Oryzias latipes: one gene and its partner. The protein of the gene in region 1 interacts with the protein of each later gene in a biochemical or structural test. Links are inferred from orthologs where the notes say so. Each region holds a gene or a part of one and is shown on either strand. Other genes may lie near its edges.

Region 1 (5,060 bases):
GAAGTTAAAAGGTAGGTGAAATTAAAGTCTTTTCTTTCTGTTGTGGGCCTTTATTTTTGTTTTACTTGAGTCTCCAGCTGGGCTTCTGCCTAAATGTCTGGAGAGAAGCTTGATGAAGTTTAGTTTGACGTTCAGTCCAACAACAAACAGTTGAGGACAGAAATACTGGCTACGGTTTCCTGGAACTGCCAGTTCCTGTTTGTCTCTGCGTCACCACCGGCTGCGAGAAACACAAACATTCAAATTTCAAGCAAATTCATTTGGGACATGCTGGAGATGTTTCCAGATGGGTGTCTGGTCTCAAAGACTGTTTGATAGGAGCTTTTATGCTCTCCATGCTGGGTTCTATAAAGACGGTTGGAGATCATTGCCATTTATTTGCTTTTTTATACAAACAACATATTTTAAAGCAACGTCATTTTACATAGAGTGTTTGGTAATTAATTTGACGTGCCACACAGCATACCTACTATTCATGTTTTTCCACAAGTTTATTTTTTTAACCTATTAAAACATAACACACAGTGGCTGCAGGTGAATTTTTCTAGCAGAAATTGAAAGATATACGACCAAGATATTAGAGAAAGAGTAAAGATAAAATTATCTAGGTCTGCATCTGAACACATCAACATTTTTTGTATTTTTCAGCACAGATCTGAAGGAATTGAATGACTGATTTCCCACATATGCTCCTCCTCTACTCAGCTTTCCAGGTTTATTGAATCACATTTCAATTTCTGAAACATCCATGGTGAAAAAAAGTTGAACATGACAATCAGGATGGAAAAAATCTAGAAGACGAAAGAGGTAAAGCCATAAAAAACAACCATAGAAAAGATCTGAATTTGTAGTGTCACAGAAGAAAATTATAGCCAAATAGGTGACTCTTTTGTAATTGGATGCTCATATTTAGAAGAGAATGATGTGTAAACTGATCAGAAATGGACAGTAAAGAATGACATTTTCTACTCTGCATGTTTCAAAGTTCAAATGTTTCTACCCAACTAATCTGGAAATATGTTGCTAAAGCAAAAGAGGTGACAGTTTTCACGCTCAAGAATATTTTCAGAGTAAACTCTGGAATGTCATTCCTGACATGGAGTTTAGCTGAAAAAGTAAGAATTCATCTTCCAAGTGTATTTAGGACTTCTAGGAAAATTTACAAGTGGAACTAATATAAAAAAAGCAAGACCTGAAGAAGTAATGAGAACTTATGCAGGTGAGCATTTGTCTGGGACAAACGGATGAAAAGTCACAAAATGAAACAACACACTGAAGCACACAATCCTCATTACAATAAGGAAGGACGTAACCATTTTGACTCCGCCCCTTTATTTTAAAATTTGATGTTCTGATTATAGTGTCATCCAGTTAAAATAATGGAATTAATTTATTAATAATCAGTTTTATTTAACAGCTGCTTTTAGAAACTACATAGTTAACAATAAATCACTAAAAATATAAATTTTAAACTCTATATTTCTGTACACAAAGGTGAGAAAAGTCTTGTGTAAAAAACTGCAGGGATGAACAGGAAGTTATAAAATTGTTGACAATAATTTCTCATTCTGCTTTCTCATTCACGCTCATGGCGAACTGACCACGCCCTCACAGCAGGATGACGGCGCATTCCCACTGACTGACTCCGCCCTCACAGGATTCTGGCTCCGCCCTCACGGCATAAAGCTTCATCTGTATGTGGACAGCGGCTAGTTAGCTAACAGCATCGACCGAAACCTGAAGAGGGGCAATTATATCAGGCCGGGGTTATCCACCTGGCGTTCGCAATTAGTCAATTCCCGAGGGGACACGGATATTTCAGAACCGAACCAAAAGAAAGGAGTTCCTGAGGAACGTAGCCAGTTTTCGTGAAGTCTTGGCCGCATACGTAGTTTTAACCTGCTATCATATCAGCTAGCTTAAGCAGACAGGCCGTGGAGCTGAGCCAGCGTGAATTATCTAATCGAAGCGGTCATCCTGGAACATCACAGCCCGCCTTTGTGCTCACTTTCTGTATCAACAATACGAAAACCCCAAACACGGAGGGAGGATGGCCCTTAAAAGGATCCACAAGGTAAGAGAACGGCGGAACTGCGTGCTAACGGTGTTAGCTTTCCATGCTAGCCTCCCTAACTATTCTCCGTCAAGGCTAACGAGGAAGTGTCGCTTCGAGGTTCAGGTGTGGAGCTCTGCTCGGCTTGATGGCGGTTATAGTTTTCAGTCCAGATACTTGTGTGTCAGAAATGTGTTACAACCGGCTGACGCGCAGCTCGCCAGCCAGCCAGCTATCATTAAATCATTAGCAGTTTCGATTTTCGACCTAACCTCTCTGTTGGGGCTGACGTCTGTCAGGGCCGACCGGTCTCGGTCGTTGTTTTTGCGTTCGGTTCTCCGTGATTCACACCTGACCAAGCCGGCCAGGGCCCACGTCACGATTAGCCTCGTCGCGCGTGTGCGCGCCCGGCTGAGTTAACTCCGGCCCGGATGGGAACCGGGCAGCCCCGGAAACCGGCAGGCCGCCCGCAACTTGCCGGTGTCTGGAAGCCTCTATGAGGAAAGGCCGGGGTGGGGCCCGGCTCATCCGCTCCAAAATAGACGGTCACCTAAAAATAAACATTATATGGACGGGCTGTATGTTTGCTGTGGATATAAAAACTGGGCTGTGCGGGCCCGTCCGGGGGAGGGGGTATGGGGGTAACCTTAACCAGGGAGGACGTTGTTCCTCACATACTCGGTGTTTGGAGATGTTGACGTTCGTCAGACTCTAGTATCTTCATGACTGACTGAAGCTCCTCTCCTGACAGGAACTGAATGACCTGGCTCGTGACCCCCCAGCTCAGTGCTCTGCTGGCCCGGTGGGAGATGACAGTAAGTGATCCGAACACACTGATGTAAATCTGAAAACCACATATGTTAGTGGATGCCGTGAACAGGAAACAGCGTTCCTGGCAGGCTGTGACAGTCACAGTGACCTGTAAGCTTCTTTATAATGCTTCATTTTTGTCCTTGCAGTGTTTCACTGGCAGGCTACCATCATGGGACCTGTGAGTACATTTTGACCTTCCCGTCATGTTATGGTGGTGGGGGGGGGGGTCTCACTTTCTTCATATAACGGCAAATGTTTATGCTTGGATCTGTCAGTCCTTAACTCGGTTTAAACTTCTCCTTGCAGAGTGACAGTCCATATCAGGGAGGTGTTTTCTTCCTGACAATTCATTTTCCAACAGACTACCCCTTCAAACCCCCAAAGGTGAGCTGCTATGACGGGTGTCTTCTGTGCGTTTCCATAGTAATGAGTTAAGACAGGATGTGGTGCTGCCTTTTGATTTAGACAAAGCGTTTGATTTCGGAACAAAGTGAAACTGTAATTCTTTTTTTTTCCTGTTTACATCATCTGCCGGTCCAGCCTGTTCTGTCGCAGGATCTGCGTTGCATAACTCAGATTTTTGTTGCGTCTCTCCCTCAGGTGGCATTCACAACAAGAATTTACCACCCAAATATTAACAGTAATGGCAGTATCTGTCTGGATATTCTCAGATCACAGTGGTCTCCTGCACTTACTATTTCTAAAGGTAGGAAGCTGTAGTTTGACGTTTAATAATTAACTAATGTCTTTTAATGTTGTGGAAGAAGTTTGCCTTCCGATGTCAAACTGAGTTTCCGTAAACTTTTCTCTTGTAGTTCTTCTCTCCATTTGCTCACTCCTATGTGACCCAAACCCCGATGACCCATTAGTGCCAGAGATTGCACGGATCTACAAAACAGATGGTCAGAAGTGAGTAAAAGCCGTCCTTTTGCATGTGACAAGACCCTGATCCCACCTTTTTTGGTTGATCCATGTGCGTGGATTTCACTTTGTTAGGTACAATAAACTAGCTCAGGAGTGGACGGCAAAGTATGCCATGCTGTAGGGTAAGCCTAGTGCTGCATCTTGACTGGTATCTCTTTCTCACCTTGGCAAAGATCTAACTGTTGCACTAATCTGTGTGCACACAACCAGTGTACTCGGTCAGATTCAGTCTCCCTTTTGTACCCCAGCTTCAGATTTGATCTGATTTTCTTCAGACGTTCTGAATGTGACGAGTTTGACGGGAAATGAACTGTATGCATGACAGTGAAAAAGTGGTTCAATTTGACGTGTCCTGCTAAGTAGCTTTTGGGGTCAGGCACAAATGTGTCTGGTGTGGTTAAAGTCCCACTTTGATCATCTTTTGATCTATTTTCAAAGCATTCTCACTGGTCTTTTAAATATGACTATTGCTAATGCAGAGCAACCCCCCCCCCCCCCATTACTGAGAGCTCCCCGTTTACGTGTTCTCCCCCTAGCTTAAAGTCCCTCACAGCCCCAAGCTAACATTAGCAGTGCAACAAAAATGTTGAGCAATATTGAAGCTATCTAGTGGTACAGTTTTTAGCCAGATGCCAGCTCAGACGAGGAAACAGGTTTTTTTAATCCTGTCTTTATTCACAAGGTTTGAATAGCTTAATTTATGTAATGTCCTCCATCAGAAAACCTCCGATAGAACGTATTAAAAACACTATTTTCAGTGGAGTGGGTCTTAAAAGTTCAGCACATCCAGGTTGAAGGTCTGCTAGTAAACATGTCTACTAATCAAGGTATGAGTTTCCGCTTTTTGTATCTTGTGGCGCTGCCTGAATGCGAACCGCATTGCTTAAGGTTGTAGCTGCTGTTGTGGCTCCTCCCACTACGCCTTCTCACCCTACAAAGTTATGTAAAGAAGTTGGATTGAAAATGCAGCCCCCCCCCCTCTAAAATCTGTTTTTATCCCTCTACAGATACACCAAAATGGCAAAAGAATGGACACAAAAGTACGCAATGTGACGGCGTTCATCGGAAGCTGCTGAAACTGTTCGTTTAAGATTAAAGTTTGGGTTTTTCTTTTTCACTTTTTGTTTTTATTAATCACCACTTGACCCCCCCCCCCCCCCCCCATCATTTTCTTTGTTTTCCTGACTATGAGAACGACAGCGTTTTCTCTCTAGCCCCCCCAACCCAAACTCAAGTATCATTGCAGTTTTTGGAGAAAAGAAATCAGCTT
Region 2 (4,512 bases), on another chromosome or scaffold:
TTGAAATCAAATTTCATTGGACAGACCATTGAGCCTACCATCACAAAAAAAACATCTGTGGATCTGACACGTTTCTTTAACTTATGAACGTTTTTTAAAAGGCAAAGAACTTTTTTTCCACCACGGATCTTTAAAATCAAGAGAAGTACAGAGTTTATTGATTTCATTCAAAACTCCATGAACATTTTGTCAAGACAGTAGAATACAGATTAGCTCAAAGACCCTTTTACAACATTGGAGTGGAATTTAAAGGACAATTGATTTGCCTGAATTGACACTATTCATTAACAACAAACCAGTACACCATGACAGAGGGCATCAACGCAGGCTCCATTTGAAAAAACAAAAAGAACAAATAAATAAATGTCACAGACATGAACTTATAAACAAATATGTCAAATAAACCACGAAGAACAGGGATTTAAAATAGAAAATGTTGGTGAAATAAATGTTCCCAGATGTTGGTACAAATGTTGCTTGCTGTCAAAATAAGGTTTTTTCTTGTGCGAAACAAATTAATAATGCACAACATCAAAATATGTCAAATGCAATTGTTACTCAAGTAAAAAAAAAAAACTGGGTAAGGCTAGCAGCTACTGATGGTCCTACTTATCAAAAACTTCATCCATCAGATGCATATTTTTAGGTGCAAAGTGATAAAACTGCTGCTTTTCTATAGAAATCTTAAAATGTTCAGGTGTTATCCATCGCCATTGACGTAGACTCGTCTTTTGTGAGGCAGTCAGAGCTTAAAGAACAATCATTAGAAGACACAATAATAACCAACATCTTTGGTGGTTTTGCCACTGCTTTAATGCTGAACCGTTCAAATACACAACAGCTGGGTTTGTTCCTTAACTGGAAAAATTCAGGGGAAAAAAAACAAAAATATGTGGTGACTGCCAACTATCGGTGTTTATTGTGTCAACAGCCCCGCTCACAGAGTCGTTTGGGCTCGAGCAGAATTTAAAATTAAAGTGAAAAATGGGCTGTGAGTGGGAGGATGTGAGCTTTCTGTAAACAGTTATATTTAGGCTTAGAGCCGCAAACAGAAAAAAAAAAAAAAAAAAAAAAGAAGTAAGGCATCGGCACAAGCGTTTCACCAGAGTGTAAAAAACAGAACGGGGAGAACATATGTACAAAAGGTACAACAGTAAGTGCTACTTGAGCAGCCTTTTGTGTTTCACTGGCTAGATGTGAGGCAAAAAGAACCTAAACCTTTCTCGCAGGGGTTGTGCTGGGGCTCAGAGCTCTGACCCGGTCCCACAACTTCCTGTGGGAAAACCCTTGGCCCTGGACTTGCATTCTTGGGGCATATCAGTTTATGTAAAAATTAAGGGGGGAATAAGGACACAGGAGGCTTGGAGATGACATCATGCAAGCGGTCAGGGCGCCTTCCCATCGGGGCTGAAGTAGTACCTGACAGGAGGACCTGGAAGATCCTCGTCTCCGTCTGCTTCCGGAGCAAAAGAGACGGTAAGGTCAACGTAGCGGCGGTCAACTGATGGCTTGATAAGCTTCTGCATCCTGTGAAAGTCCAAATAAACATGTATTTAGATAAAGCATCAAAATGATCAATAAAAGAAGGACACAAACTCAGACTAAAGCACTCACGTCAGTTTGAGCCTCTTTGAATGTCCGGGCATCACAGGCACATACAGCATCTTCACACCATGGACCACCATGGTAGGTTCAATCGTATACTTTTCCTGCAGGTATGTAAGAAAGTTGAGTTATTTGACTAATAAACAAGTCTGGCAAAACACAACAGTAGCCAAACCACTAAAGCTCCACAGTGAATGAACGTCTCACCCTGACTGCGTTCATGAAGTCAGACAGAGTGAAGTCCTCATGGCCAAATATGGTCCAACAATCCCAAATGGTGAAGGAGAGGTTGTTCCTGAAAAATGTCACACACTTGTCACTGCATGTAAAAAACGCAGGATGTGTGTATGTGAGAAGTAAGTCATGCAATTTACTTATGGCCCTCTTATGTAATGGCTCTGTATTATAACCCCCCCCCCATCTCTAACATCCCACTCCCTCCCTCTCCTTTCCTTTTACATTTATTATAAATAAAGCTTAGCCTCAAATACAAAAACGGGGTTTATACAAATATACACTCAGTCTGTCTGAAAATCCATAAACCCCTATTGTAACAGTCAAATCTGTCCAACACAAGAGGCCTTAGCTCTGATCTGCTCGCCCAGCTGTTGGACAGGACAAGTTTAAAAAATAAAATAAATTAAAATAAAATGTGGGATATCACAAGATTAACATTAAAATACTTTGCTAGACAGCACATTTCCAGTAGGTACTGGTGATCAATTTGATTTGTTTCTAGATACACTTCTCCTTTAAAAAAACGTTTTGTGTGCTTAATTAAAAGTAGCTTTTACTAAAATTAGTGATTAAAAATGAACTAAAGTGGAGCTTTCTGTAAAAAAAAAAGAAAAAAAATCAGGAAATCCTGTATCAAAAAGGTCAAAGTGCTTAAAGAAAGAGGAATTTATGGATTTGATGAATGGAAATTGAATTTTCTAAATGAAAACTGATTAAATACAATGTTTCTTAAACCCATCCCTAACTTTGAGTGCAGAGAATTTGTGCTAGGTGTATTTTAGTTACGTTTTGTAGGAAATACCTTTAAATACTCCTACCTGATGACCGTCCGTTTAACAGGAGCAGTCTCACTGAGCACCACGACTGGAATGGCCAAGTTGAAGAAACAGTTCTTGAAGGATTCAAACCCATAACCTCCAACAACCTTGACTAATTCCAGTGCAACCTTTGTAAAACAAAACAGCACAAAATGTAACTTCTATTTCTAAGTTGAAATCTTTTGAGTTTTTTGGAGAAAAACATTAAAGATAACCCAGTTCCTGATCTCACCAGTCCAGACACAGCAGCTGTTGCTGTGGCGATGGCGGGAATGATCTTTCCAGCGATGCGTTTAGTCTTCAGCCTGTCAGCCGGCTCTATGGAGTACATCCTGGCTCTGAGGGAGGACGCCGATGTGACAAAATCAATATGGCCGTTTCTGTCGTTGTCTTTTTCAAACTGGAGGGGGTTCATTCGTAACGACTCTGCAGGAGACGAGAACAAAAAAGGGTTTTTAAAAGCTGCAAGACAAGTCTGTGTGTTTAAGGCATTGTCAGGGTTTCGACATCAGCTTTAGATCTTAATTTGACTGGTCTGTTTCGGCTCTTTTTATATACCTGGTGTGACGCCGTCAGTAGAAATGGCCTCTTCCAGCTGTGCGATGGCTTCCCTCTCCTCTTCGCTGCTTAAAGGCATCTTCATCTGGTCGGGCTTCTTTGCAGTCTCATCGGTCACTATACTCTGTCAACAGCAGATTCCCAACCGTCAACATTTATAAAGCTGACAGAGTTACCAAAGACCAGATCAAGTAAGAATCTTACTTTCTCTAAGGGTCTGTACTCGGGGATCTTGACATCGGAGAGGATCTTTGACACGGCATCCTCGGAGAGATCCTTTCACAAGAAAGCCCAGTGAGTACAAGTGATCCTACCTTTGATTGACAGCAGAGACACGGGTGTCATAGGCCTACCTTTTCTGAGAAAGGGATGTTATAAATCTCAGCAAAAAGCCGGGCGGCGCTGACAATGAAAGTGAAGTGCCTGACGGGAACAGAACAGGGAGGTGTAAACCAAAAAGGAAGGGCAAAAACCGCACAAACTTCCAACTTCAGAAAACACTCACAAAGGGTCCTTTAGGTCAAACTCGGTTGGAGTTGGGGGTCTTTTTGGGGACTGCCAAAACAAACCTAGAGAGGCAGAAGAGAGCAGACACATTATCGCACAAAAAGCAATAATCTGATGTTTAAAGGCCTAATCCTATTAGGAATTTGGAAGTGATCAACAAAGAAAAAAAATACTTACTTCCATCTTTTAACCTTGTATCCAGAGGAAAGGAGTGCAACAGCTGTAGAGCCTAAAGAAACAAGAAACTGTGAGGCTTAACATCCAGTTGTGGCTTTCATTTTTCTTTAAATTTAAAGATTTAAATTTTAAGGTTGCTCACCTTTCTCTTAAAATACTTTTCAAATTTTAAACGGGCGATGATGACGCACTGTTCCCAGTGACTAGGCCTTCTGCTTAACAGCTTAACGACCTGGAAGGCCCCCTCCATACTTTCCCCCACCTGCATTCTCTGCACACACACAGTCAAATGAAATGTTTACAGCTGCTGTGTATTGAATGATTCCAAGCTATGTTTGTGTCTGGGGAGCTTTTACCTGCAGCACCGCTTCAGCTGAGACATGCGTCTGCCAGAAGGAGTTGTACATGGAGGGTTTGTGGAAAAAGGCACTCTCAAACTAGATCAAATGGAAAAATTATAAGTTAATTTAAGAAACAAAACACTTTGAGAAAAGTCAAAGGGTCACACCTTGTCTCGGGCCCACTGAATTGTGTGCTCTATAACAGAGGGAAAGGACTTGAGAGTGCAGAAGGGGATCTCCTCTTCGGGGGGGTCCCTCTGGGAGCCAAA

The links. The genes of interacting proteins can lie anywhere in the genome.
Region 2: of the proteins of ubiquitin-conjugating enzyme E2 D2 (region 1) and uba6, one has a biochemical effect on the other in vitro, tested with the Homo sapiens proteins (7 studies listed by BioGRID, with this or other methods). The link is inferred for Oryzias latipes from reciprocal best matches to the Homo sapiens genes UBE2D2 and UBA6.

Annotation. Positions count from the first base shown.
Region 1 is NC_019880.2:25,335,507-25,340,566, forward strand, and holds the start of ubiquitin-conjugating enzyme E2 D2, read left to right. Parts: upstream 1-1,660; 5' UTR 1,661-2,050; coding exon 2,051-2,074; intron 2,075-2,804; coding exon 2,805-2,868; intron 2,869-3,012; coding exon 3,013-3,044; intron 3,045-3,172; coding exon 3,173-3,250; intron 3,251-3,466; coding exon 3,467-3,572; intron 3,573-3,681; coding exon 3,682-3,775; intron 3,776-3,862; coding exon 3,863-3,911; 3' UTR 3,912-3,912; intron 3,913-4,797; coding exon of another isoform or gene 4,798-4,843; 3' UTR 4,844-5,060.
Region 2 is NC_019859.2:12,649,556-12,654,067, reverse strand, and holds the end of uba6 (ubiquitin-like modifier-activating enzyme 6), read right to left. Parts: intron 4,501-4,512; coding exon 4,411-4,500; intron 4,340-4,410; coding exon 4,259-4,339; intron 4,174-4,258; coding exon 4,045-4,173; intron 3,955-4,044; coding exon 3,903-3,954; intron 3,788-3,902; coding exon 3,724-3,787; intron 3,642-3,723; coding exon 3,572-3,641; intron 3,495-3,571; coding exon 3,423-3,494; intron 3,343-3,422; coding exon 3,219-3,342; intron 3,087-3,218; coding exon 2,893-3,086; intron 2,789-2,892; coding exon 2,661-2,788; intron 1,901-2,660; coding exon 1,813-1,900; intron 1,710-1,812; coding exon 1,615-1,709; intron 1,528-1,614; coding exon 1,386-1,527; 3' UTR 128-1,385; downstream 1-127. UniProt on the Homo sapiens protein: Activates ubiquitin by first adenylating its C-terminal glycine residue with ATP, and thereafter linking this residue to the side chain of a cysteine residue in E1, yielding a ubiquitin-E1 thioester and free AMP.